7 linked regions of the Macaca mulatta genome follow. The protein of the gene in region 2 interacts with the protein of the main gene of each other region in a pairwise test. Links are inferred from orthologs where the notes say so. Each region holds a gene or a part of one and is shown on either strand. Other genes may lie near its edges. The genes, in order: RAB33A, CCDC136, ASB7, CDK2AP1, PDLIM5, LENG1 and HMG20B.

Region 1 (4,018 bases), on a different chromosome or scaffold from region 2:
CCAAGATGTGTGTGATGATTAGTAAGCTTTGGGAAGCAGCCCCCTAATATTGTAAGGAGATTGTGTTCATTTATCATCTTCCAAGCATAATCTAGGCTTCTGGCAAATTAGACTCAACCACTTTGTTCTACATTCAGCTGCAGGGGGAGTGAACCCTCCTAGGGATTCCCAACTCCCTCTGAAACTCCACCCTTCTGGAAGGACTTACGGTTATATGGAGGGCTTGGGAGTGGAAGGCACTGTGGAGCTTATGCCATGTCCCAAGATCCTCCACCTGGGCCAGTAATGGCTAGCCCCATAAACAAAGTCCCCTTTTGCTGGAACTGCCACCACTAGCTTCCCCCCTTCTCCTAGCCTCTGTGTGGCCCTCTCCCGCGGCGAGCCTTCCCCATTGGCCAGCCAAACACAACCGACTGCGGCAGCCAATAGGAGCCGCTCTCCTGAACATTCAGAGGATGGGTGCTCGTGGTGTGATGAGGGGATGTTGGCGCCTGGTACGCGCCCCCCTACATCTGGCAAGTCTGTGACAGAAACAGTAACACCCCCTACACACGCACACGCGCGCCCGCTGGCTCCCTCCTCTCAACTGTGCAGGCCCGGGACAACCCACTGCGTGTCTTGGCAGCGCCCGCTCAGGCTGCCTGGGGCCCGTGAGTGCACCTGCTCACTCAATAAGACAGAACATCCCTTTATCCCAAGGCGCGGGTCGGGTAGAGGGTGGGGGTAGAGGGGACGGGGTAGCGGGGACCGGGAAGGCGCGGCTCAGCTGCCGGCTGCTCCCGAAGTGAAAGAGGTGCCTTAGCCCCCACCCCATCCCTGCAGAGTTGCGTTGCTCCAGGGAGGCCGAAGTGATCCAGTGATGCCTTAGGGTGCAGCTCTTTGTCCTCCCCAGCTGTGCTCCCTGCCCGCTGATCCCGTGCGCTCCGAGCCAGTGGGGGTGGGGAGCCCGAAACTTATAACATAAATGGGGGCAAGGAGAAAGAAGTCTATCCCGGGGTGGCGTGTGCTGCTGTCCCCACCCCCTCCCTTTCCTCCTGAGGCTTCTTCCCTCCGGTCGGTCTCGGGGGTGCAGGCAGGGGAGAGTGTGGGCCGAGGCGCGGCGGCGGCTGGAGCAGCGCCGTAGGGTCCTTCGCCAGAGCATCCGGTCCGAGGGCGCACACAGGCAGAAGGCTCGCTGCTCGTCCACTCTCCTCCCTCTCTCCTCCTCTCCCTGGCTTTTGTGTTGGTGCCTCCGAGCTGCAAGGAGGGTGCGCTGGAGGAGGAGGAGGGGGGCCCGGAATGAGAGGCACCCTCTTCACGCGCGCGCGCACACGGTGCCGGCGCACGCACACACGGGCGGACACACACACACGCGCGCACACACACGCGCACAGAGCTCGCTCGCCTCGAGCGCACGAACGTGGACGTTCTCTTTGTGTGGAGCCCTCGAGGGGGGTTGGGGCCCCGGTTCGGTCCGGGGGAGATGGCGCAGCCCATCCTGGGCCATGGGAGCCTGGAGCCCGCCTCGGCCGCTGGCCTGGCGTCCCTGGAGCTTGACTCGTCGCTGGACCAGTACGTGCAGATTCGCATCTTCAAAATCATCGTGATTGGGGACTCCAACGTGGGCAAGACCTGCCTAACCTTCCGCTTCTGCGGGGGTACCTTCCCAGACAAGACTGAAGCCACCATCGGCGTGGACTTCAGGGAGAAGACCGTGGAAATCGAGGGCGAGAAGATCAAGGTGATCCCGGGGGTCAGGTCCAGGAAGGGAGGGACCTGGGAGGGGACCTCGCCCGAGGCATAGCTGTAGCGGTTGTCATCGTCCAGCGTCCCAGCGCGTGGCGGTTTCGCCTCTTGCTGAGCCGAGGACCCTCGGCCCCTCCTCACCCCTTTTCACCTCTCTCAGCGGGGTCCCGTCCCCATATCACTCAGTTTTTTGGGGCGGTCGAGAATGGTTGCATTCTTACCCTTTGCTCCTGCCTGACAGGTCCTGCCAGGAAAAGCATGTTGGATCCCATCCTTGACCCCTAGCCCGAGCAGCGGCACCTGTGGGCAGAGGGAGGCAGGAGGCATCTCTGGGTCCTAGTCTGTGGGATGGATCCCAAAGCACTTTACACATCCTGATGTCTCTTCTACCGCTTGGGTGCCGATAGGCTGCAAAACCCCACTTCAGCTAAGCCTCAAGTCATTAGAGGGAAGGAAAGGATGGAAATCCATGGAGAATGAAAAAGCTGCTTTATTTTAAATTGCAGTTTATAGTTAAGATTAGGGCTGAGTTGAGATGGGGGTGGAGTGAGGTGGTTCTGGCAGAAAGCCATGAGCCCTTTTAAAGAAATTGAGGCAGGGTCACCAGCCAGCCCTTTGTAATCAACAAAACTTGTTTTTTATTGTAACAGGCCCCCTGGAATGGTATTTTCTTTACTTGTCTGGGGTATCTAATACATGAACTGCTCCTTATTCATTCTGTTGGTATTGTCTTCAGAAGGTCTTTGTAAAAATGCAGTGACTTAACCGAGGGCCAGGGAAATGCTCAATCCTCCCCCTCCATGAGTTTATGTAATAGGCTAAGTGCAAATATTCTTGTCTGACCATTTGTGCTCACCTTTAATTCAGAAAAGGTAGAAACCTGATATGACACGAATATGTCAATGTGCAGGGCATGGAGGGAGGGAGGACATAACAAGGGCAACTTCCTGTGTCAGGGGAGCAGAGGGGGGCCTCTATAAAGGCAATGGAATCACTGAAGACAACTCCTCTAGGCTCACAGCTGGCCTTTCCTTGAGCGTATGGTTGGATCCTAGACAGAGTCAGGGGTAACAGTAAGCCTCCTTCTTGCTGGTCAAACGGCCAAAGTGACCACAAGGCCCCTCCTCTGAGTGACGTGGAGAGAAGGGCTGAGTAACTGATGAAACACTTGAAACTGTGCAAGACTCTGACTCCTTGATTATTAAAATGAACATGTTCTAAAAATGGCTTCAGAAACTGGGCCAACGCACTAGATGTCAGGAAGATGGACAGCTCAGTACTGATAAGGGAGAGCCCCAGGGTCAGGAAGATAGAACATTATTTTGAAATTGTGATCTTTTTTGCCCCTTGCATTTTGAAGGGGAATTGCTACATTTCCTTTTAAAGTCAAAGGCAGCATCTTGTCTTTGTCCTTTCCTGGGGCTGTTGACATTTGCTTGGTTAAGACTTCCTCTAGTGTGTCTGGCTTCTTTAATGTAAGGCTATACGATTCTAGAATTTCTAAAACATGCCTTTGTAATCCAAAGTAGAAATATCTTTACGGATGGGCTCTTAAACCCTCAAAAACCTAATGCTCTCATTTGCTTAAAATCAAGTGTTACAGTAAGCCAAAGAGTTCCCTGGATTTAAAAGGTGGGAAATAAGCCCATCTGAAATTTAAATGGAAAAAAATGAAGTGTTTGGGAATCTAAAGAAGGAGGGAGGAGGAAGCTAGAAAGTGAGGGATGGGAGATGAACACGAGTGGAAGAGTCACCACCCAGTGGTCTCGGAGGAATTTTTAAACCATTCCTTCTCTTCTGACACCCCAGTACTTAGCCAAACTGGACTTTACAGTCTCTGGCAAAGATTCCAGACTTTTTCCCAGAGGGCAGAGCCTGTGACAGTGTGACTCACTAGAAACAGAACTCAGCACAACACCACGTGCAGATAAGTGCTTAATACAGGCTTTTTTTGGGAAGATGATATTTTCAAGAGGACAAAGCCTTGTGACACTGCTCATGGAGGAGTCCTCTGAGGGCAGATTCTGAAGGAGCTCAGAGCAGCGTGTGAGAGTGGGGAGATGGTGACCCTGCTTCTTGTAAAGCTGCTGCAGTCTCAGGACCAGAGCTGGCAGGCGAGAGACCAGCATGTCTGTGGGAAGATGGCAGGGCCTGGCAGCTAGCACGTGATCTAGATAGGAGAAGATTTGGCCTCACACTCTGGCTAGCCTGAAGTTGTTCAAGGAATACATGCCAAAGCCATGCTTGGAGATGACTGCCAAGGGCTTTGCCCTTTGGGAGAGAGAGAAAAGTC
Region 2 (3,569 bases):
AAAGAGAAGCTCTTTAGCCTTCTGCTCTCATGTTTCAAAACAGGAAAACTGGGGGCTGGTCATCAGTGCTTTCCTTTCCTCCTGGTCTCATCTCTCTCTGCTTGTCCTCTGCAGAAGAACTGCAGGAGCTGCGGGAACGCTACCATTTCCTGAATGAGGAATACCGGGCCCTGCAGGAGAGCAACAGCAGCCTCACTGGGCAGCTTGCAGATCTGGAGAGTGAGAGGTACAGCTGTCTCTGGAGAGTGAGAGGTCATGGGGTTCCACAGGACTCTGTCTTGCCTTGGGCTTTCCCCTGAAGGCAGATGCCAGGGCAGTGAGCGTTCCTCTGCTCCTGGAGACCCAGTCCTTTCCATGGTTTCCAAAGAATACAGATACCATCTACAAGCAGACATGGGGATCCGACCCAGTTATCTCAAGACTAGAGGGAGTGAGTTCTGAAGTTTACTTTTGCTCTAGGCACTGGGTTCTGGTTTGCTCTGCCCTGAAGTAGATCAGAAGAGATTCGTTTATTGTCCGCATAGACTTGTTTCAGTCTAATGGCAGGCACAATGCTTCCAGATTGGAGTGGGCTTGACTAGGCCTAGCCTGAAAACTAACTGGACTGGCATTCTAAGGGTCTCCCAGAGTCAAACACACCTTTGCAGATTGAGGTGCTGGAGACTTTCCATAGTCTTCTAAGCATGTTTATCTGAGCGGTGAGTCACAATAGAAGGCCCCTTACTATCTTTGGCCTAAAATGAAGGCATCAGGACCAAGCATGCATGGCTGGTGTTGCCAGGCAGAACTCCCTTCAAGCACAGCTCTGGGGTTCTGGATTGCAGGACACAGAGAGCAACAGAGAGATGGCTGGAGTCCCAAACACTAAGTATGACGTCGGCAGAGTCTCAGACTTCGGAAATGGATTTCTTAGAGCCTGATCCTGAAATGCAGCTGTTACGGCAGCAGCTACGGGATGCTGAAGAGCAGATGCATGGCATGAAGAACAAGGTAGGGCACAGAGGGTGGGGAGGGCAGGCACGTTTCTTGTCTTTCTTTCACCTTCTCCCAGCCTGTAGTAGAAACATCTCCACAGGCATGCACTGTGACGGGAGACAGTATTCTGGGGTCTTGCTTGCCTGATGTAAATCTTCCAGTCAAAGAATGCCATACTTTCCCCAAGCTTGTTCTTGGAGCACATGTGGTATCTGTAGTAAACAAGCCTCCCTGTTCCATTTCCTGCATAGTGTCAGGAATTGTGTTGTGAGTTGGAAGAGCTACAGCATCATCGCCAGGTCAGTGAGGAGGAGCAGAGGCGGCTGCAGAGGGAGCTCAAGTGTGCTCAGAATGAGGTGCTTCGGTTTCAGACCTCCCACAGTGTCACTCAGGTAAAGACTGCCCAGGGAGTCATCTGGGGTGGGGGCAGAAGGGCCTCATGGAGGGGCTGCTTCAACCAGGGTGGGCACAGTGAGTATGGCTGTGCTCTGCTGACTCTTGCCCTGCAACTGGGCACAGTCTGCTGGAAACCAACTGTAGAAGTCATATAGCACTGCATTCTAGAAATGGTGGTCATTACTGAGTGTCTGTCTCACAGAAGAAACCAAACCCTAGACCTGTGGGAGCTCCTCAAGATGTCTGCATCTGAAAAGGAACCCAACTGATCCGTAAAAAGATCTGCTGTTTCTCCAGAGTAACTGTTCTACTCACATCCTCCCTACCACAGAATGAGGAGCTGAAGTCCAGACTCTGTACCCTGCAGAAAAAATATGATACTAGCCAGGATGAGCAGAACGAGCTCTTGAAGATGCAGCTGCAACTTCAGGCTGAGCTCCGGCAGCTCAAAGTCATGAAATCCACACTTGTAGAAAAGCAGAGTGAGAAGGTAACAGCAACCAGAGGTGAGGGGACAACTTAGGTGCTAAGGGCATCCTTCTGAGGTTTTGGGAAAGGTGGATCAGAGTAGTGAGTTAAAAATAATTCCAGCAACCACATAGACAGCACCACAGGTAAAGAACTCCAGCCCTGCTCGAGTACTACATTAGATATGAGGACATTAGGAAGTGAAGGGCAGGGAGAAGCAAATCTTAGACTGTCGGTGTCTTCAAGTGACTCACACAGAAGAGTGAGTGGGTTAAGGAGCCCAGAGGCACTGCCCAAAGCCCCCTCTACCATAGGAGTTACTGTGCCGGCTGCAGAAGCTGCAGCTCCAGCACCAGAACGTCACATGTGAGAAGGAAAAGCTGCTGGAACGGCAGCAGCAGCTGCAGGAGGAGCTGCAGTGCCATGAGGCGGAGCTGCAGCACCTCAGGGATACGGTGGCCTCCTTCAAAGAGAGCAGTGAGAAGGTAAAAGAAGCTCCTGGTGAGGGAGGATGTAGCCTCATCTTGTGTGGGGGTGAGAGTGCAGAGGAGGAGAGGGAATGGTAGGAGTGTGGAGGAGCTGGCAGTGAGGGGGCCAAAGAGGTGCTTAGGAGAAAGGTAACCTCAGGGAGTCACAAGGCTCTCATCTTCCTTTGATTTTAAATCAGAAAAGCAGCATATAAAAAGGAAGTCCCTTTCCCTCCCTACCTCCCAAAAAAGGAAGCCCCAGAAGATCTGTGTTTCTTTTTAAATTATTTTTATATTTATTTATTTATTTAACTGGAGAGGCTACACTGGGAAGGTCTGTGTTTCAAGCCTGTCAGGGACGGGTCCATCTTGGGTATATATCCCAGGCTGGGATGAAATTGGGGCTGAGAAGGACAAAGGAAGATGGGTCCCCTTAGTCCCTGCCTGGGAGGAGAGAGTTCAGCAGCAGGAGTGCCTGGGGTGATGGCCAGGCCTGCCTCCCCTGCCCAGAACACAGAGACGCACGCTCAGCTTCAGGAGATGAAGCAGCTGTACCAGGCCAGCAAGGACGAGCTGGAGCGGCAGAAGCACATGTATGACCAGCTGGAGCAGGACCTCCTGCTCTGCCAGCTGGAGTTGAAAGAGCTCAAGGCCTCCCAGCCCAGTCCGGAGGACAAAGGAAAGTGTGCTAACAAGGTAATTGTTGTTCAGAGAGGTGACAGCTCCTGGGCACTGGCTCCAGAGAGAGGAGGTACAGAGGCAAAAGATGAAGGCACCCAATCGAAGGGCTTGATGGGCTTCCTAGGCAGGAAGCAGAGGCAGGGCCACATGCTGCTAACTACAGAACCGTTTGCCCTGACCTTGACTTTGAGCCGGAGCCACAGCTCAGTAGGATCAATACCTTTGGATCCCAGTCTGAACCCCTGAAGGTTTTACACATGATTCCATGTATGTAGACAATGGAATATAGAGTGCTGACTAGGCAAGAGAAGGACCTAGGCTTTTTCAGGATTTATTCTGTGACTTTGAAGTAGTTAAATTCTTTGTTGTTGTTGTTGTTGTTGAAACAGAGTCTCACTCTGTCACCCAGGCTGGCGTGCAGTGACACGATCTCAGCTCACTGCAGCCTCTGCCTCCTGGTTTCAAGCGATTTTCCTGTCTCAGCCTCCCGAGTAGCTGGGACTACAGGCACATGCCACCGCGCCTGGCTAATTTTTGTATTTTTAGTTGAGACGAGGTTTCACCATGTTGGTCAGGCTGGTC
Region 3 (3,569 bases), on a different chromosome or scaffold from region 2:
CGGCTCTTCATTATGCAGCCATGCATGGCCGGGCCCGTATTGCACGCTTGATGTTAGAATCTGAATACAGGAGCGACATCATTAATGCAAAAAGCAATGACGGCTGGACTCCCCTCCATGTGGCTGCCCACTACGGCAGGGACTCATTTGTCCGGCTTCTCCTGGAGTTCAAGGCTGAGGTTGACCCACTCAGTGATAAAGGTACCACACCGCTTCAGCTCGCCATTATCCGAGAGAGGTCAAGCTGTGTGAAAATCCTCCTGGACCACAATGCCAACATCGACATTCAGAATGGTTTCCTGTTGCGATACGCCGTGATCAAAAGCAATCACTCTTATTGCCGAATGTTCCTTCAGAGAGGGGCAGACACAAACTTGGGTCGCTTAGAAGACGGACAGACTCCTTTACACTTATCTGCCCTTAGGGATGATGTGCTCTGTGCACGGATGTTATATAATTATGGAGCAGACACGAACACACGGAACTATGAAGGACAGACCCCATTGGCTGTTTCAATAAGTATTTCTGGAAGTAGTCGACCATGTTTGGATTTCTTACAAGAAGTCACAAGTATGTAATATAATTATTACTTTATTGCATTTTAAAAAAATTTGCATCTTCTGAGGAGCTTAATGTGTTTTTGCAACTTAAGATGACTAGATATTAATCATTCCTATAACCACTGCTTGGTAAGCGATGCCTCATTCTTCTGAAATAAAAAAATAACTTTGAATCACAAGATTTCATAAAAATTCAATTGTGTTTCTAAATGTAATAGGGGTAGACAGTAAGAGTGAGGGAAGGAATGGAGAGAAGGACAGAGAGGAGAATTTCTTTAAATAAACAAAGATCTGTGTTAGAACAAGGCAATTCCTGTTGGTCATAAGGATAATCTTACCTGGCTTCCATGGACTTCAAGTTGAGGAGTTAGAGGGAGAATTTTGGATTTTAGATTCCTTAGCTGTGAAAATATCCTAGAATTTGTGCTTTATTGCTAAGTTGTTCACGTTTTAGTTGTGGCTTTTCTGCTTCATGAGAACCCACATGAAATGGAACAGTGGTACTGTTTATTTAGGGATACTGCTAGTGGAAGTTAAGGATGCTAGAAATTGTTGTAAGAAAATATTTGCTAGCAGTGGGAAGTTTGGCACCACTGTCCCTGGACCACATGGCTTCCATTGTATTTGAACAATTTTTGTGTGGGTGCTTTTTTTAAAGCCTTGAAGTGTCTGACCCACTTTCTGTAGTAATACATGCATCCTAGTTGTTTCTGTGATGGGGTATCAGTTTGTGTGGACTTAGCCATCCTCTCTTGTCAAGCTTCCACGTGACCAGTTGATTGTGTGTCTCATGCTTAATGTCCAACATGAAGCTGAAATCTGTAAACAAAATTGATTTTGCTGTCTGCTGAACTTTTTAATGAATTCCTTTTTCCTCACTGGTTTTGAACCTTTGATCATGATGATAGAAGAAGACATATTAATATCCTGGGTACCAGCTTCTAGAGGACAAAGGCTTTACTTGACTTGCTTGTAAATAACCCACTCTACCCCTTAGAACCGACCTTTGGAGTACAAACTTGCTTTATGAAGAAACAAAATGTAACTTGAATTTCGCAGATTCATGGAAGAAAAGATGAAATTATTATCACTAATGTATTCAGACTAAAGCATAAGAAGAAATCACACTACTTTGTCTACTCAGTGCTGGCTAGTACCAGTTTCTGTAATGTTGGAAATGGTCTCTCATTACTGTCCAGTATAGTAGCCACTGGTCCCATGTGGCTGTTGAGCACCTATTAATGTGACCATTGCCACTGAGGAATTGAAATTTTATTTAATTGCGATTTAAGTTTAAATGGCCACAAGTGCCTGGTGACTCCTTTGTTGGTCCACACAGATCTGCCTGCCTTGGGAGGGGTATTTGGGGCTGACTGGTGGGCGTTCCATTGCAGAAAGCTTCTGAGACACACACAAGTAGCCAAAGACGGGAGATGTGATATCTGCAGTGCTGCAGTTCCTGGTTGCCTTGTTGTTGTTGTTCTTTTAACTTCTATATTAGAGACTTAGTTATCATGAGTGTGGCTCCCCTTAGGAAGGCGTGTTATATACTCACCTAAATGCCTCAGCCCCCTTTTTTTAAAATACTTTGTTCAGCGGTTAATGGCATAGACTAGAGCTAGACTGCAAGAGTTTGAGCCCTAACTCTATCACATGTTAGCTGTGACCTTGAGCAGATCACCTAATCTCTCTGTGCCTTAGTGTCCTCACCTTCAAATTAAGATAATATAGGCTTGTTATGAGAATTAAATGAGTTAATATTTATAATGCACTTAACATTTAACACGTTCCAGGCGCTGTTCTTTGTCATTGTTTTTCAAGATAAAGTGTGTAACTAATAAAGTGAGGGTGGATTAACAGCGAGGACTGGCTTGCTACCAACAGAGCAAAATCTTTAGATTCATATTCAACTCAAGCCTCCCAGTTTCAACCGTATATACAACTGTTTAGAGTCTGTACGTGGAGCCACGCAGCCAGGTGGCTGAAAGGAGCCGCTGGGCAGGAAAAGCATGTGGGCAGCCGCCCTGTGTCCCTGAGCCCTTAGAGCTGCCCGCAGCAGTGCTGTTGCACAGCAGGAATGTTGAGTTAAAGGCTCACATGCACTTTAAAATTTGAGCAGATAGAAACATCAGTGGGGACTGCCTCTGTCTGTGCTTAGGTTCTCCACTGCACGAGGAGCAGAGCTGTGCACCTAGGAGGTCCTCAGTAAGTCCAGGCAGTCTGGCTAACTCTGTACAACGAGGGGTGGGGACTGAGGAAGCACAGACTGCTTTCCTGAGTGCAGGGCCCTCTGTCTGTTAAGGCTGCAGTTGTCCTTTGTCTTCAGGTGCCTCAACATAATTTAGTATTTCTTGACTCTCCAGTGATGTTTCCTGCCAAAAGCAAATTGGTGTTTCTGCTTCACCTGTGTGTTCTTTGGGTCTAAATAGCTTTTCTTTTCCTAGTGAACAATGTGGGCCAGAAGGAGCAACTGTGGCTGATGCTCTGGACTGAGCTTTCTTATGAAAAGCAGCTCGAAAGAAGGTTGGTTAGTTTAGGGAGCACTAAATCAAAGCTGAGAGCTTCTTCTAGCCCGTGTGCTCTAAGCACTGCAGCCCCGGGCATCATGCTGTTGGCTTATGATTGGAGATCGCAGACTGCCGAGGCATAAGGACAGCAGAGGGGCCACATGGTGGTCTTCATTCAGGGACATTTTACTCTTCATCACACTGTTTTGACTAAAAACAAGATTATTTACATTGGAAGAGACCAAAAAAATTATAATACCGGAATTTAAAAACTACTCTGGCCTTTTGGAAAAATTGCCATAAAAACTCTAATATATAGTGCAAACAAAAACAAAAACAAAACAGAGTGCACTCGTGGCTTGGTAATAAAGTAGCATCTGCTGGTGACTTGTTGATGCTGAGTAGGGGGAGAGGCCAGGAAGAGCTGCTGTTGCTGTTCCCTTCAGCCAGCCCGCTGTCTAGCATTCAGACCTCAGAACCTCCCCCTTCCAGGATGGCAGGA
Region 4 (3,998 bases), on a different chromosome or scaffold from region 2:
TGGCTCTCCTGCTCGAGTTTTGGGCCTTGTTTGCAAACGTTGACTTCATAAACCTCCCACATCCGAAGTAGGACCCATAAAAACGATATTTAAAAAAACCTTGGACACTGAGGTGTAGGGGCAGGAAAGGGTTAATCGTCAGGGTGCTGAGGGAGAGTTGAATTGCTCACTTGTGGGCTCGGAGTCCCAAAGAGCAAACAGCCACTGTTTTCTTCTCAAACATTCTCACCTCCTCTGGGGTCCGCAGACCTTACAAAGACGGGCTTTGTTGCCAGGTAGGACTGCCAGCAGCGTTCTTCCTCTGGCCTGTGGGGAGGGCAGGGGCTGGTGTTGCCAGCCTGGGCAAGGCTGACAGCTCAGGCTTGACCTGGTGTCATTGGGGCCGGGGCCTTAAACTGGGACCTTCAGGGTTTGGGGTCACAGGGATAGCGGCACTCACGGGGACCCCTGAAGTCCTGTTCTGAGCTGGCTGCACCTGTATTCAGCTTTTCTTCTCTTTCTTCTGTGGAGAATTTCAGGAGTGCCGAGATCCCCAGATCTGGGCTTTTTGGTGCCCCTCCCTCTCCCCCATGGACCCTTTTGCAGAACCCCAGCTCCCCTCCTGCCATTTGCATCCAAGATGGACTCTCCGCTGCTGCCGCTGCTCCTCCGGCTTCCTTGTCATCATCCCTCACGCCCTGCAGCCCTGCCTCCTGCTCACGGGTTGCCAAGCCGCGGCCTGGCCGGTGGTGGCAGTGGCGGAGTTAGACAAAGCCCCCGCCTCCCCCGCCCCAGAGCCCCCCAGGCGCCCCAAGTGGCGGGAAGGCCGCCAGCTCCCCAGGCCCCGGCGCTCTTTGTCTGGCGTGGGGGCGGGGAGCCGCGCCTGGCCCCAGGAGCTTCCTGGCCTCTGCCAACCCCTCGCTCCTGCACACTGCGCTCATTGTCTGAGATGCGCCGAGACGGCCTGCGCTGACGTGGTCCCTGTGTCCCGGTCCCTGTGTCTGCAGGAAGGAGTGACCATGAGTGGAACTCGGGGCATTTCCGCCATCTCTCTCCAGGACTAGACACCCCCCACTCAACCCTGAACAAGGGACTGGCCTGGACAGAGCATTGGAGTCACCGAGCTATTGCTCCTTGTCCCCCCAGCCAAAATGGGACAATTTCTCATTCCTCCTTCCTCTCAGCCCCGCAAAACCTAACCCCAGTATCATCAAATAGTAGGGTCTGGAGCCTGTAGACCTTCTCTTGGGAAGCACTGCCTCTAACAAATGGAGAAACTGAGGACTGGAGGGCGGGGGGCCTGTCTGAGGTCACACAGCCAGGAGTGGCACAGCTGGGGCTGGCGCCAAGTCCAGTGGGGAGGACAGAAAAGGAGAGGTGAGGAGCAGTGGGCAAAGCAGTTGGGGAAGAGGACGGGGGCACACCGAGTTGATTCGAGGGTGCGTGGGAAGTGGCTAGCGCCCCTCCTGCCAGGCTGCTGGGATCTTGCAAACACCCAGGGTGCTGTGCTCTATGGTCCCTCCCAGAGACTGGCCCTCGAGGCCAGAGAGGTGTAGCTACCAGGATCGAAACCCAGGTCTCTGCCAGCAGAGCCTGTGTTCCCCATGCCACGCTTGCTGCCACATCAGAAGCTCAGGAAACTGGGGTTTGGCTGATGTGGTGAGGGGGCGCTGGGGGACATCGCCCTGCCCAATTCCTGCAGTGGCCGTGGACGTGCCGGATATCGCGGGCGTAGTGCTTCCCCATCCCAAGCCGCCCATCCCTGTAGCACACGTGTCTCGTCATCCCCATGTGGGAGGCATGGAAACTGAGGCTCGGAGTGGCATGGTGCTTTGCCCAGTTCAGGATCCAAGTCCACGTTTCCAGGTCCAGCCCAAGCTGGAGCATAACCCTGGGCTGCAGTGGTGGCATCCAGGGCTGGCCTGAGACTCAGGGAGACAACTCGGGACTGTCCCCGCTCCCGGATGCTCCTGGACAGAGGGGCAGGTGCTGAGGTAGCTGGCTCCCTGCATGGAGGGGCAGGTGCTATGCTGTGTGCCCTGGGGCAACTCCCTCAGGTCCATGTCTCTAAATAGAGGGGCCTGGAGCCAGGGTTCTCCAGGGCTCCTCCCGGCTCCCCCAGCCTGAGGCCCTGAACTTCCTTCCTCCTCTGCCCCTCCCCTCACCCACACCAAGTGAGCAGCTGGTGGGTTTGGCCAGCCTGGCACCAGCTGTCCATCCCCGAGGCCAAGTCTGCAGCGCCCGCTGTGTGTGTGAGAGAGAGACCGTGTGGCTCTGGGGGCGGCAGGCGGGCAGCTGCCGAGGAGGACTAGGTAAATTCTCCATGGTTACCGCTGTTTGTCATTCTGCAGGATATCCTTTACCCGCTAATGGCCACTGGGACGCCATTGCGGGGCCGCGTGCTCCCAGCCTCAGACTCCCCTCCCAGATCCAGGAGGCTGCGTTCTGGGCTGGGCCCTGCTTGGTCACTGACTGCAGCCCTGGACAGGCCCCAATGTTGCATCCCATATGTGGGGCCTCAACCCTCCTCTCTTGGAATGCAGAGCCGTTGGGACATAGACTGCCAAGAGTCTGGTCCCCCTTTGGGGAGGGGGAGACAGGCACAGAGAGGTTGAGGGGCTTTATCTGGGGCACACAGAGGCCGTGGTGTTCTCTAGATTCCTAATTTGATGTCCAGCATGCCTGTCTCCAGCCAGGGTTGGGTCTCAAATACTCTAAGGCCTTCCCATCTTCCCCGTCATTGAGCACAGCAGAGATTTCGGTGCATAGGACAAAAAGGCTTGGAAGCTCCGCTGGTTTGGACCAGCCTCCATGGCAGTGGGCTCTTGTGGTATGATGTGGCCTCTAGGTTTTCATCCTCTGGGGCCAGGACACAGGGAGAGGGGATGGGCAGGGATGAGGCCAGGAGTGGCAGTAATTTTATCTTTGGGAGCAGCCCTGCTGCTTGGAAGGTTCTGGTTGGACAGGACGGAGCTCTGTGAGGACCAGCAGCTGCTACAGAGCTGGGGATGGCCGAGTGCCTTGTAGCTACATTTCATTATCCGTCTTCTACACTGGTCAGACTAGAGGTGGAGAGCAGGGTTCTCTATCCTGCTACAGTTGGTGGTGTGGGTCCTGGGCAAGGGCCATTGCAGGACCTGGAGTCCTTGCCTTGGTACAACTGGCTGAGCTGACTCCTGGCCTCTCTCTCCCCACCCCACAGCTGGGAGTGTCCACTCTCCTTCCACCAGCATGGCGTCTTCACAGTACCGCCAGCTGCTCAGTGACTACGGGCCACCATCCCTAGGCTACACCCAGGTATGGCAATGGGGGTGATGGCATGGTGGGAGGGCTGGGGGGAGACATGCTCCCCACCATCAGAGGAGAGAAGCTGGTGGAAGAGACGAAGGAGCAGAAAGTATGGGACAGAGCTTTCTCAGCCCAAGGCCCTGACTGGGCTCCGGCTCAGAACACATCAGAATGGAGGGCACTGGGGACTGTGTTTCGCAGGGACGTGTGAGGTGGAGCGGACAGGAGAGCACCAGGAAGGGGCAGCAGCCCGAGCTGCGCTGCGGCCCCCACCCCACGCGCTCCTCTGGTGGGTCTCCTCACTTCTCTTTCCTGGGCAAGTGAGGCCTGGCCTTGACCCTGGCTCTCCAAGCTGGGACAGAAAACGGCCGGTTCCCACTTGCTCTCCACGGGCGTGGGCCCAGCAGAGAGGAGGTGGCCTTGTCTCGAGAGCCAAGGTGCCTCTTGTTGAGGGCCAGTGTTTGAGAGTGTGGCCCAGGCGAGGCCGCTGCCTGGTTCCACCACTTTCCAGACTGTGACCCCCACTTGGTAACTGCCCAAGACCTGGGCTCCTCATCAGCCCAAGGGTGATCCTAGTACCCCCAGCCCAGGCTGGGGAACAGCAGGAATGGGGTAGCCACCATGTCAGCTGCACCCCACATCTCCAAGGGATGAGCTGCCCTGTCGAAGGTCCCAGCGGGAAGATGCTCTCCCTGGCTGGGCCCCAGTGCCAGTGTTCTGAGGTCGCCACG
Region 5 (3,569 bases), on a different chromosome or scaffold from region 2:
TTGTTGGCAAGTCAGTCTTCAAATGTGTGATACAAGGTAATTTTAAATAGGAATACAGTTAGTGAACTTAAATACATTCAAAAGTATTTGTATGTCAAAATCAGCTTTATGGAGGATTATACATCAGCTTTTATCTTCTGAGAGAAATCATAGCAGCAGTAACTAAATGACCTGAACTCCTATTACACTTCTGACACTTCACACTTTTATAATGCCTAGATATTAATATGGAATGGTTACTCTCTTGTATTTATTATGCTACCCTTTCTCACTTTCCTTTTTGTTCCTCTCCTGTTTTTCTTTCCCTACCTGTCAGTTTAAGCAGCTCCACAGGAAATGTGGAAGATTCTTTTGAAGGTTTTCGAAACTTTTCTACCTTCTCTTCTCCTGCTAGATACAGTGCTGCAGTTCTGAGCAGTGCAGCTGCTACTGTGTCTGCTGTTATTGCTGCAAAAACCAGGTAGAACTACACGTGCAGCGTCTGTCTGATGCAATCTCAGCGCTCTTCATTGTCTTACAATTCACCTCAAAGAAAACATATCTGTTTGAAGCAATCATAGCTCTATTGTGAGCTCTTAATTGTGTAGTGGATATTTTAGGTTGTGGATGAATCTCACAGTATTTGTTACTGTTTATTTCTTAAAAATCACCTTTTAATCTCTCCATTGCTGCTATTTATGGATGGTATTTCTCAGTTGCGTGGATTATTACATGTTGTGTGCTTATTGGCACTTGGATTTTTACGATTTTCAGGTTTTATATTTGAAACAATAAAGTATTAATGAGTATTTTAAGTTTCTATTGATTTTATCTTCTCCCACGACCTTTAAAGGGTGATCTGAAGACTACTGTCCCCTAAAAAAATAAAATTGCATCCTTTCCCAAAAAGAAATAAATTGGTTTTATTTTCGTGGTTTGGGGGTTTTAGATAATTTCTATAGTCTTTAGAGCTTCAAATGCTTTCTAAATGATGGCTGTGACCATTTTGGTGAAAATCTAATCAATGTTATATTAATGAGTAAAGCGATAGAATAAACTCTTGGTGCTTCTTTTATCCTCCTTTGCTGCTTTGTGCTTCCCCTCCGTCCTCCTCTCTCTCCCCACCCTCTTTCTCATAAAGGAAATGTTTCAAATCACAGACCTTAAAAACTACTGTCGTCTATTGGTAGTGCGATTTTTGACTTAAAACTCTTTCTAAATGCTTACCAGGCTCTACACTCCTGAAAGATATCACTCGCTCTTGGATGCACTTTGCATCAGTCCTGTCTCCAAGCCTTTAGCTTTTTCCTATCTGCAGTCCTCAAGGAAATCAACTGGCTCTATCCATGTTAAGAAAACAAGGTACTGTGGGAGCAGATATGGCAAGTGGTGGTTTGCTGTTAAGGATACTGCTTTCTCTAACACATCACCACTGTATTAACAGGCCGGGTGACAACATCCTAGAGCTCTAGGGATTTGCGCCCAATTTTGAATTAACTGTAATGTCAATGCCATGCTAATGCACAAGCACAGTATGTCCTATGATTATTAACTCACCTTTTAACCTTTTGTGACATCTTTCCTTAGCATACTTGATGTTTGGTGTGCAATTCCACGTAATTGTACAAGTATTTAAATTGCAGTAGAATTTCTGTCTTTTATTGCATAGATATAGCTGTATTAGAATCTTCAAATGTTTAGTAAGACATACCTTTTGGAAAAATGAAAAATAATAATGATCAATTTTGATTGACTACATATTCTAGTTCTTAAATATGAAGGTTTTGCTTGGAAAAGCAACTTAATTTCCACTATTTGGGAAATGCTAAACACCAAAATAGATTTTTCTATTAAGCTTAAGGATTAAGCCAGAAATTTTTAGGCATAATATAAAAATAAAAATATCACAAGTGTTTACTAAAGATATAAACTCAGTGAAATAACTGTATACAATGATTTTTGACAGAACATAAAATCAGTGGCAAAGTATACAACATACTTAGTGAAAACCTGATATAACTAGGCTATATAACTGATATAACTGATATTGATTAGATGTTTGTATTCTAACCACTGTTATAGAGATTTTTCAATATATTTACCTGGGCCAGGTGCAGTGGCTCATACCTGTAATCCCAGCACTTTGGGAGGCCGAGGCGGACGGATCACGAGGTCAGGAGTTCGAGACCAGCCTGGCCAACATGGTGAAACCCTGTCTCTACTAAAGATACAAAAAATTAGCTGGGTGTGGAGGTGGGTGCCTGTAATCCCAGCTACTCGGAGACTGAGGCAGGAGAATCACTTGAACGCAGGAGGCAGAGGTTGCAGTGAACCGAAATCGTGCCATTGCACTCCAGCCTGGGCGACAGGGCAAGACTCTGTCTCAAAACAACAACAAAATATACATATGTTTATTCTGGGTAACTTTTAAGGGAGGTGTTTAAACAAGGGAGAAAGATGATAGTACATTTTTCTCTAAGACAGCACCTGAAATTATATATTTGCAGAATTGTAAGTGTTCAGGGAGCAGAAGTCTTTCATTGTCAGGGCTGAGATTGTACAGAGGCAGGTTACTGACGTTGCTTAGAGTACGCTTTGAGTACTTGAGTACACTTATACCACATTTTTAGAACCTGGTAAAAGCTATAGATCCTCTCTCCAGAAAAGTACCTGTGTGCATATACATGCAAAAGTGTGCATGCATTTATGGACTGACTGTGCTATCTGTGGCCCCACCTCTAGAGCAAGTATTAGTAGTCATCACCATTGCTTATTAACAGTAGGACACAGACAAAATATAGTTTGATATTGAGAGAGGGAAATGGTTTCTAAAAAGATAGTCTAGTTGGCATTCTGGGGTTTCCTGAGGAGACCCTTGCTAACTTAGTGAGAGGGGTACCCAAAAGACCAGATACATTTTATCTTGTATGAGAGTAATCATAAAATGTGTCAGAGACATTTTATCTTGATTTTTACTTTTGTGTGATAGTAATCTTTAAAAGTGTAAATATAGTATAATACCAAATTTATTTTTTCCATTAAAATATATTTTTCCATTAAAATATATTTCCATTATAATATATGTTAGTACATCATATTTTAAATTTTGGTTTACAAACTCTAAGTTAAAGAATTTTGCTTAGGAAAATATTAAAAATTTTCTTCTAAATATGGAATTCTGGAAGGAAGGACACTCGTTACTCTCTCTACATGTCCAGGTCCTTTAAAGGAGTCCTGACAGAGGAATTCTATAAAATAAACAATTGCTCGTAACTAAGGCCTTTCCAGAAATACTCCTTTCCTGCCATTTCAGAATCTGTATATTAGTATACCATTTTTTGGTAAGACTTTAGCCAAAAACTGTTTAACTTAAACATCGATAATTAAACCTGTGATGTACAGTTGTCTTCTTTAAAATGTAAACATGTAATTAGAATAAGTTACTCTCAAAAGTATTCTTCAAGCAGAGTTTTTCTTTTGAAAATAGACTTAAAATTCCCAAGTGTTCTTAATCTGTATCTGAGCTTTATTTGTTGTAATAGTTAAACAAATGTGGGAAAGGAATGTAAACTCAAGATAAATCAGGTTGC
Region 6 (4,313 bases), on a different chromosome or scaffold from region 2:
TCTCCGGCTGCCCGCACCTTCCGGGCCTCCACGGCGAATTTCTTTTTCCCCTTGGTTCTTCTCCTGGGTCTGGCCATCTCCAGCGTTCCCCTGCTTTACAGCATCTTCCTGTAAGTGCGAGAGGTTCCCGCCTCTCTCCCTCCCTCTCCCCCCATTCAGTGTTCAGACTCCTGGCTCTACTTGAACCCAGCCTGTCTTGACTTCAGGATCCCGCCTTCTAAGCCGTGTGGTCCATTCCGGGGGCAGTCGTCCATCTGGGCCCAGATCCCTGAGTCTATTTCCAGCCTCCCTGAGACCACCCAGAACTTCCTCTTCTTCCTGGGGACCCAGGCTTTTGCTGCGCCCCTTCTGCTGATCTCCAGGTGAGGTGGACCAGACTTCTGGGTCTGGGTTTGAATGCGTGTGATCTGGGGGCCACCACCTGCGTCCAAGAGAGGAAAGGCTTGGGGGTGGGAGCAGGCAATGTACTGAGTCTGAGGGAGGAGGCCTAGGCTCCTGGACTGCTGGGTCCGAAGGAGGAGGTGGGCGGGACTTAGGACTCCTGGATCTGAACGCGGAGGTGCTGGGAGACTGAACTCCTTGAGCCTGGACGAGGAGGGACTTAGGGGTCCACATCCCTGACTTCGAAGAGCGTGTCAGGAGTGGCTTCCGTTCCTGTCTCCTCCAGCATCCTGATGGCGTACACTGTGGCTCGGGCTAACTCCTACGGACGCCTCATCTCTGAGCTCAAACGTCAGAGGGAGACGGTGAGCCAGGCGGGTCCCTGAGAGGGCCCCCGGGGAACACGGAGAGGGGCTGGGGAAGAGGGCTGTCACACCTCCACCTCTCTTTGCCGCAGGAGGCGCAGAATAAAGTCTTCCTGGCACGGCGCGCTGTGGCGCTGACCTCCACCGAACCGGCTCTTTGACCCCCGCAGCTCACGCCCCACTTTCAGACCCCAGGCCCATTGTAAGCCTAGGTCACAACATCTGTAAACTAGGAGAACTGGAGAAGACTCCACGCCCTTCCAGCTTTGATATCTGGAGATTTCCAGGGCCCCTCGCCGCCACGTCCCTGACTCTCGGGTGATCTTTCTTGTATCAATAAATACAGCCGAGGTTGCTGAGCGCGCTTTGAAATCTGCGTCCTGAAGGTGGGGGCAGGGCTACCGCAGGGCAGGAGCCAATCAAATGTATGGGCATGTTTGTCGGTGCGGAGCGCACTTCCGCAAGGAGACTTGACGGTCATGTCGACCAATCGACGGCCGCATGTGGTAGCATCGGGGCGGGCCAACTTATGATTGGTTCAGATCTGTGATAAGAGGCGGTTGCTAGGGGATACCACGAGCCGAACGCCTAACATTCGCTGTGAAAAGGACGTCTCAGCCAATCACCTGTCGTTACAGGCCAGGGGGCCGTACCAACTAATTCGGAACCAATCTGCGGTCGAAGTAGGGACAAGAGGAAGGGGGGCATCCTCTCGCCAATCGGAAGTGCAAAGAGGCGGGCGTGCCAGTCCCTGGACAGCTACGACGCCATGAATATCTTGCCCAAGAAGAGCTGGCACGTCCGGAATAAGGACAATGTCGCCCGCGTGCGGCGTGACGAGGCCCAGGCCCGGGAGGAGGAGAAGGAGCGTGAGCGGAGGGCGCTGCTGGCTCAGCAAGAGGTAAGCTCGGAGGCCGGCCGGGCTGACCGCCGGAGCCCAGCGCGCACGCGCCGCGGTTGGGGGCCGGAAGCGGAGGCGTTGCGCAGGCTCAGTGTGCCCCGTGTGAAATTCGGGACCAGGCGCCGATCCCGTTTTCGAGGACGTTGCTCTGCAAACCTTGTGGCCACTTCCACGAAACCTCCCTTGATCTCGCCTTCGTCTTAGTTTCCCCCCACTGATGTATTTCACATGGCTGGAACAGTGTCTAGCACAAAAGAGCAGCTTAAAAACATTTAATGAATACATGAGCGCTTGGACAGTTCAAGGAAATTCGGATCACGTTTTAGTTTGCCTGCGCAGTTTATTTATTGAGCACCTATTGTATGCTAACTACATGCAGAGCGCCTGACTTGCGGAATCCCCAGGAGGCACTGTTCGTTCTTAGAGGGGCACTGTCATCTCCGTTGCACGGAGTGAGATGGCTTCAGTGAGGGGAAGGCACATTTAAGGAGAGGGGGACAGCCAGGCTCCACGCCATCGGGCGAGCCCTTTCCTGCACCGCCCCCTAGACACATACACACAAACACGGGCTTTCTGTATGGCTCCTTAAATCTGTTTGGTGTACACCCAACTTTCAGTTCCTTAGCTAGTCTGATCCTCCACAGTGGGTGGGAGGTAGTCTGGGTTTTTAGAATCTCAGTAGGCTGCTGAGCGCTGTTTGAAATCTGCGTCCCGAAGGCGGGGGACAGGGCTTCAGCAGTCGACTTGGGGTAGTGACTTGGAGCCATGGCTAGAATTCAGATCGTCTGGCCTAATGCAGTTTGGTCTACCTTTATGGCTGTTTTAATTGTCTCACTTGAGGTTAGGAACCCCTTTGGTTTAGGCCAGGGACCTCCTTCCAGCCATCCTTGATGACCCGTGGTTTACGATTTGAAAGGCAGTTTACAAAACCCAGGCGTTGCCTCATCTGCCTACCCTCACCCGCAGCTAGGACAGGTGCCTCTTTTAGGCGTCTAGTGCTCCCTTTCTTATAACCCCAGCACCCTGGACTGCCATTTTCTGTGGTGGGCACCAGACTCACAGTTCTTGAATCACCTCTAGGTTCTGAATGCCCTGCCTATAACTTTCTCCCCAGGCCCGTACAGAATTCCTACGAAAGAAAGCCAGACATCAGAACTCACTGCCTGAGCTTGAAGCAGCAGAGGCGGGAGCCCCAAGTTCTGGCCCTGTGGACCTGTTTCGGGAGCTGCTGGAGGAAGGGAAAGGAGTGATCAGAGGCAATAAAGAGTACGAGGAAGAAAAGCGACAGGAGAAAGTAAGCTGGCCTCACCCACTTCATTAGAGGAGCCATGAATCGAGTTGGGGGGAGAGGGCACTTTAGCCACTGCTTGTGATCAAGGTCAAACGAGAACGAACACACAGAATTTAGAACCATACCAAAGCATGACACTTAAGAAGTGTTGCCATCTGGGCACCCACAGGGCTTGGAGGTAGATGCTAGAGGTCCCCAGCTGCTAGGCAAACTGCTCAGTTCTCAAAACTGGAGGGGTCTGAAACCTTGATAGGCTTTTAAAAATGTAAATCAGCCAGCTGTGGCTCATGCCTGTAATCCCAGCACTTTGGGAGGCTGAGGCGGGTGGATCACCTGAGGTCAGGAGTTCAAGACCAGCCTGGTCAACATGGTATCTCTAAAAATACAAAAAAATAAGCCAAGTGTGGTGGTGCACGCCTGTAATCCAGCTACTTGGAGGCTGAAGCAGGAGAATCGCTTGACCTGGGAGGTGGAAGTTGCAGTGAGCTGAGATTGCGCCACTGCACTCCAGCCCAGGTGACAGAGCGAGACCCCATCTCAAAAAAAAAAAGAGAAAAAAAAAAAAAGGCGAATCATTCGCCTCTTGCCTTTTGGCTAAGATCAAGTGTAAAAAGTATGTCTGGTCGTGCATGGTGGCTCACACCTGTAATCCCAGCACATTGGGAGGCCAAGGTGGATGGATCACCTGAGGTCAGGAGTTCAAGACCAGCCTGGCCAAACATGGCAAAACCCCGTCTGTACTAAAAATACAAAAATTAGCCGGGCATGGTGGTGCGTGCCTGTAATCCCAGCTACTAGGGGGGCTGAGGCAGGAGGATTGCTTGAACCTGGGAGGCAGAGGTTGCAGTGAGCCGAGATGGTGCCACTACACTCGAGCCTGGGCAACAGAGCGAGACTGCATCTCAAAAAAAAACAGGTACATGAGCTCTTGTCACTCACCTGCTGTCTCTGGACTTGCTGACCCCACCCATGGCTCCTCTGCTTTGCTTGATCCCTTCAGGCTTCTCTTCAAGTCTCTCTGCAAAGATGCCTGCCTCTGAACACTCAAGTGGCTCCACTTGTCCCCTCCTTCCCCTGCTGTTACCTGCCACTGTCCCCCCACGGGGAACTTGGCCTCTGTTGGTGTCTTCCATCCCCAGCACCTGGTACAACTGGTTCATGACAAGCCTTAGGTACCTGTTTGCTTAGATTCCTATGTCAGGGAGACACACCTGACACCTTGAAAGATTATATCCCATCTCTTGTATTTCCTGGCCCCCTCAGGAGAGGCAAGAGAAAGCTCTGGGCATCCTGACGTACCTGGGCCAGAGTGCAGCGGAGGCACAGACTCAACCCCCTTGGTACCAGCTACCCCCAGAGCGAGGGGGGCCCCCTC
Region 7 (4,280 bases), on a different chromosome or scaffold from region 2:
TATTATGAATCACGCTGTTATGGGCACTTGTGTACACGCTTTTGTTTGAACACCTGTTTTCAGTTGTCTGGAGTATATTCCTAGGAGTGAACTGCTGAATTGCATGGTGATTCCACATTTATTTAACCCTTTGAGGAAATGCCAGTCTGTTTTCCAAAGCAGCTGACTGCATCTGCCTCCTAGACATTTGAACAATTCAATGAATGTGTATTGAACACCCACCACGGTCACTGCTGTGAACCAAACAGGCAGGCCACAGAGAGGAAACCGACTTACGGAGAAAAAAAAAAAAAAAATCAGAGGCGAGGTCCTGGCTGAGCAGGTGACATTTGAGCGGACTTGAGGAAGAGGAAGGGGGCTGGGCGCGGTGGCTCACACCTGTAATCCCAGCACTTTGGGAGGCCGAGGCAGGTGGATCACGAGGTCAGGAGTTTAAGACCAGCCTGGCCAAGATGGTGAAACCCTGTCTCTACTAAAAATACAAAAATTAGCCAGGCGTAGTGGCAGGCGTGTGTAATCCCAGCTACTCGGGAGGTTGAGGCAGAGAATTGCTTGAACCCGGGAGGCAGAGGTTGCAGTGTGCCGAGATCGAGCCACTGCACTCCAGCCTGGGCGACGGAGCAAGACTCCGTCTCAAAAAAAAAAAAAAAAAAAGAGGAAGTGAGCAGCCCCCAACTTGGGTCTGATCCCCCAGAGCGGAGCATCCTGACCCAACTTCACCAGGTCCTTGCAACCTCCCTTTACCACCATCTTTCCCCAAATACTTCCAGCCCAGCTCCCAACCCCACCCCCTGACTGACCCACACCCCGTTCTCAGCTTCGCAGCATCCCAGCCTCTATGCCCTGGACATCGTGCGATGTCCCCATTGCACAGGAGGGAAAGCCCAGATCCCACTGGGAAAGCCGCCCCTGTGGCCAGAAGCCCTCGGATCCGGATGTCGGGGGTTCTGAATAAATAAATAGGAAACGTCTCCGATGGGTTTTGCAGGATGTTAAGAACAGGTCCCACCTTGTCCTAGGGCTGGGGGCTGCCTCACAGGAACTTAACCCTAGCACCTCCGTCCCCATGGCAACCGGGGCGTGGCCCGACCCGGATCCGCGGGTCGCGCCATCCGGCAGCTGCTGGGAGTATCGCCCTCAGAGCGGGAGGAGGAGTCGGCGCCTCACCTACTGGCCCTTTAAGAGGCTCCGCCCGGCAAGTCCGCCACGCGCTCCCGATTGGTCCCGAGCGCGGCCGAGCGCAGCCGAACTTGACGCACCGCCCGCCGCCTTCCTTACTAACCTCCCACGCGGCTCAGCAGCCTCCCCAGCCAATCGCCGGCCGGCGCGCCGATCGGTATCTGCATGGGCACGCCCCGGGGGAAGGCCTCACCCAATGGGACCGTTCGCCGAGGCCTCATTAGCATGCCGGGGGCGGGGAGGGGCGGGGCAGTCGGCGGGGGTGGGCTGCGGGCGGTTGGTTGGAGCGTCGCGCAGTCGGGAGGTCCGGGAAAGTTTCTTTGGAGGTGAAAACAGCCGCGGAACTCCGGGCCTTGCGAGGGGGCGGGGGTGCGGGGGTCCCAGGGCCGGGTCGGGGTCTTTCCTGGGCCGGGGGGAACCGGCCCAGGCCTCCCGGGGGGCAATCGCCCAACAAAGGATTCTTGGGGCGCCCGCCCTCGAGGACTTCCCCGCCCCCGGATCCGGCCCCCCCAGCGCTCCGGGCCCGGCATCCCGGGGCTCTCCATCACGGGATACCCCAGTTCGCGGTCCGCCATCAATCAGCCCAGGCGCTACTCAACTCCGCCCGCGTCCGTGTTCCAGGTCCGGCCCGGAGCAGCCATGTCCCACGGCCCCAAGCAGCCCGGCACGGCCGCCGCGTGAGTGCTCCGATTCCCTCCCCACGCCCTCGCTACCTTCCCGGCTGCAGCCCTAGCTCCTGAACCCCCGCTCCAGTCACCCCGGCCGGGGTCTCGACCGCCCCCAACCTGGGTCAGGGGGCTTCTCCCTCCATCCAATCCTGCATACCCCACCTCGGCCTCCAGCCCCTCCCAGGAGCCCCGCTTGTCCCACCTTCCGCGGATACTGACCCCATCAGACCCTGCTTCCTCGGGCTCATGCACTCTCGCAGCAGCCCCATCGTCGGGCGTCTAAAAGCCTTGGGGTAGGCGTTTGGGGGAGGGGAGGCTCTAGGGACGGGGCTGACCTCTGTATCCTTGGCTCCAGGCCGGCGGGCGGCAAGGCTCCGGGCCAGCATGGGGGCTTCGTGGTGGCTGTCAAGCAAGAGCGCGGCGAGGGTCCACGCGCCGGCGAGAAGGGGTCCCACGAGGAGGAGGTGAGAGTCCCTGCGCTGAGCTGGGGGAGGCCCCGGGCTGCGGCCCCAGCCTTGAAGTCCCGCCCCAGGCTGGATTTGAATTGCTTGTGGCTCCGCCCACAGCCCAGATTTTCCTCCGGAAGCTGAGACCCCGCCCCGTGCGAGCTGCCACGCCCCTGACAGGTCCTCTGCCTCCCTAAGTCCAGGCCCCGCCCACCACACAATGCCAGCTCTGCCCACTCTAAGGTCCCGCCCACTTCCACTCCTTGGGGGCGGCACCCTCCCCATGGTCCTGTGGGCCCTTTCTCCAAGAAGCCACGCCCACCAAGCAGAGGCCACGCCTACAATCTAAGTAAACACCACCCCTGTGCTCAAACCTCGGCCCATAGTCTCTGGGATCCCCTCATCCCTGGCCAGGGACCCCTCTAAACCACCGTGTCCTGACTCCTGACTGGGCCCTACCTCCATCTCTTCCGGGTTCTTCCTCCCAACTAGGCCCCGCCCCGTCCCCGCCCATACAGCATTAGGCCCCGCCCATGCCCCTCTGAGCCCCGCCCCAGTACGCCAGGCCCCCCTCCCAACGACGCAGCCCGGTTCTGCAGCCGGTGAAGAAACGCGGCTGGCCCAAGGGCAAGAAGCGGAAGAAGATTCTGCCGAATGGGCCCAAGGCACCGGTCACAGGCTACGTGCGCTTCCTGAACGAGCGGCGCGAGCAGATCCGCACGCGCCACCCGGATCTGCCCTTTCCCGAGATCACCAAGATGTTGGGCGCCGAGTGGAGCAAGCTGCAGCCAACGGAGAAGCAGGTGAGCGGGGCGCTGAGCAGGGCCGGCGGACCCCCGTACTACCAGTAGCCCCGACCCCCAAAGGATTCCACGTGCAGGGCTTTTCCTTATGCCTGGTGAAATGCCCACCCATGACCAGTTTTTGTGTGTGTGTGTGTGTGTGTGTGTGTGTGAGATGGAGTCTTGCTCTGTTGCCCAGGCTGGAGTGCAGTGTCGCGATCTCGGCTCACTGCAACCTCCACCTCCCGGGTTCAAGCAGTTCTCCTGTCTCAGCCTCCCAAGTAGCTGGGATTACAGGCGCCAGCCACCACGCCCTGCTAACTTTTGTATTTTTAGTAGAAATGGAGTTTCGCCATGTTGGCCAGGCTGGTCTTGAACTCTTGACCTCAAATGATCTGCCCACCTCAGTCTCCCAAAGTACTGATATTACAGGCATTAGCCACCATGGCCAGCCCATGACCAGCTTTTGGGGGCGCGGCTAGCAAGAGGCAAGACAGATCGAAAACTGGGTGACCAACAAAGATATGTCTAAGAAGTCAGGATAAGGCCTGGATTTTTTGTGAAATCTGATTTTCATATACTGTTAGTTTAAAAATTGCAAAAACATCACGGAAATGTAACAAAAGCCACCGCCGCTTTGCACCCCTGTAAGTGAAATTTCAAAGAGAAAAACGGGTGCAGGAGGGAGTCTAGATATCCACATACCCTGGAGGTTGGGTGCCTGCCCATGACTCTGGCGCCCAGGAGTGTCTTGTCAGGGCGGGAGTTGGGGATGAGCCTGGGGCATGGGAAGTGATGTGGGAGCTCAGAGGTCCTTGAGCAACAGGCTGAGGAGCCGGTTCTGTCTGTCTGGAGGGAATAGGGAACTATGGAAGGTTCAGGAGAGGGGAGGGTGCTGTGAAAGCTGAGTGATGAAGACTGGGTCCTGGCGTTAGAGGCTTCCCCTGCCTCAGGTCTTTTGGTGCTGTCCCCCAGCGGTACCTGGATGAGGCCGAGAGAGAGAAGCAGCAGTACATGAAGGAGCTGCGGGCCTACCAGCAGTCGGAAGCCTATAAGATGTGCACGGAGAAGATCCAGGAGAAGAAGATCAAGAAAGGTGGGAGGGGTCAGGCGCGGTGGCTCACGCCTGTAATCCCAGCACTTTGGGAGGCCGAGGTGGGTGGATCATCTGAGGTCAGGAGTTCAAGACCAGCCTGGCCAACATG

Evidence for each region.
Region 1: the proteins of CCDC136 (region 2) and RAB33A interact in binary tests that used the Homo sapiens proteins (3 or more experiments, as listed by UniProt). The two-hybrid records come from large-scale screens. The link is inferred for Macaca mulatta from reciprocal best matches to the Homo sapiens genes CCDC136 and RAB33A.
Region 3: the proteins of CCDC136 (region 2) and ASB7 interact in binary tests that used the Homo sapiens proteins (3 or more experiments, as listed by UniProt). The two-hybrid records come from large-scale screens. The link is inferred for Macaca mulatta from reciprocal best matches to the Homo sapiens genes CCDC136 and ASB7.
Region 4: the proteins of CCDC136 (region 2) and CDK2AP1 interact in binary tests that used the Homo sapiens proteins (3 or more experiments, as listed by UniProt). The two-hybrid records come from large-scale screens. The link is inferred for Macaca mulatta from reciprocal best matches to the Homo sapiens genes CCDC136 and CDK2AP1.
Region 5: the proteins of CCDC136 (region 2) and PDLIM5 interact in binary tests that used the Homo sapiens proteins (3 or more experiments, as listed by UniProt). The two-hybrid records come from large-scale screens. The link is inferred for Macaca mulatta from reciprocal best matches to the Homo sapiens genes CCDC136 and PDLIM5.
Region 6: the proteins of CCDC136 (region 2) and LENG1 interact in binary tests that used the Homo sapiens proteins (3 or more experiments, as listed by UniProt). The two-hybrid records come from large-scale screens. The link is inferred for Macaca mulatta from reciprocal best matches to the Homo sapiens genes CCDC136 and LENG1.
Region 7: the proteins of CCDC136 (region 2) and HMG20B interact in binary tests that used the Homo sapiens proteins (3 or more experiments, as listed by UniProt). The two-hybrid records come from large-scale screens. The link is inferred for Macaca mulatta from reciprocal best matches to the Homo sapiens genes CCDC136 and HMG20B.

The regions. Positions count from the first base shown.
Region 1 is NC_133426.1:136,626,431-136,630,448, forward strand, and holds the start of RAB33A (ras-related protein Rab-33A), read left to right. Parts: upstream 1-1,209; 5' UTR 1,210-1,462; coding exon 1,463-1,720; intron 1,721-4,018.
Region 2 is NC_133408.1:168,439,679-168,443,247, forward strand, and holds part of CCDC136 (coiled-coil domain-containing protein 136), read left to right. Parts: intron 1-114; coding exon 115-226; intron 227-824; coding exon 825-990; intron 991-1,226; coding exon 1,227-1,367; intron 1,368-1,702; coding exon 1,703-1,861; intron 1,862-2,153; coding exon 2,154-2,324; intron 2,325-2,816; coding exon 2,817-3,002; intron 3,003-3,569. UniProt on the Homo sapiens protein: May play a role in acrosome formation in spermatogenesis and in fertilization.
Region 3 is NC_133412.1:90,994,428-90,997,996, forward strand, and holds part of ASB7 (ankyrin repeat and SOCS box protein 7), read left to right. Parts: coding exon 1-570; intron 571-3,569. UniProt on the Homo sapiens protein: Probable substrate-recognition component of a SCF-like ECS (Elongin-Cullin-SOCS-box protein) E3 ubiquitin-protein ligase complex which mediates the ubiquitination and subsequent proteasomal degradation of target proteins.
Region 4 is NC_133416.1:130,672,868-130,676,865, reverse strand, and holds the start of CDK2AP1 (cyclin-dependent kinase 2-associated protein 1), read left to right. Parts: upstream 1-1,180; 5' UTR 1,181-1,247; coding exon 1,248-1,356; intron 1,357-2,137; exon of another isoform or gene 2,138-2,291; intron 2,292-3,181; coding exon 3,182-3,276; intron 3,277-3,998. UniProt on the Homo sapiens protein: Inhibitor of cyclin-dependent kinase CDK2. Also acts as a component of the histone deacetylase NuRD complex which participates in the remodeling of chromatin.
Region 5 is NC_133410.1:103,948,698-103,952,266, forward strand, and holds part of PDLIM5 (PDZ and LIM domain protein 5), read left to right. Parts: intron 1-316; coding exon 317-460; intron 461-1,209; coding exon 1,210-1,341; intron 1,342-3,569. UniProt on the Homo sapiens protein: May play an important role in the heart development by scaffolding PKC to the Z-disk region. May play a role in the regulation of cardiomyocyte expansion. Isoforms lacking the LIM domains may negatively modulate the scaffolding activity of isoform 1.
Region 6 is NC_133424.1:66,391,267-66,395,579, reverse strand, and holds the start of LENG1 (leukocyte receptor cluster member 1), read left to right. Parts: upstream 1-1,492; 5' UTR 1,493-1,515; coding exon 1,516-1,647; intron 1,648-2,761; coding exon 2,762-2,941; intron 2,942-4,201; coding exon 4,202-4,313. Other genes in the region: voltage-gated chloride channel TMC4, read left to right, coding at 1-110, 207-362, 668-746, 839-907.
Region 7 is NC_133424.1:4,383,093-4,387,372, forward strand, and holds the start of HMG20B (SWI/SNF-related matrix-associated actin-dependent regulator of chromatin subfamily E member 1-related), read left to right. Parts: upstream 1-1,458; 5' UTR 1,459-1,548; intron 1,549-1,800; 5' UTR 1,801-1,818; coding exon 1,819-1,856; intron 1,857-2,202; coding exon 2,203-2,311; intron 2,312-2,892; coding exon 2,893-3,096; intron 3,097-4,050; coding exon 4,051-4,171; intron 4,172-4,280. UniProt on the Homo sapiens protein: Required for correct progression through G2 phase of the cell cycle and entry into mitosis. Required for RCOR1/CoREST mediated repression of neuronal specific gene promoters.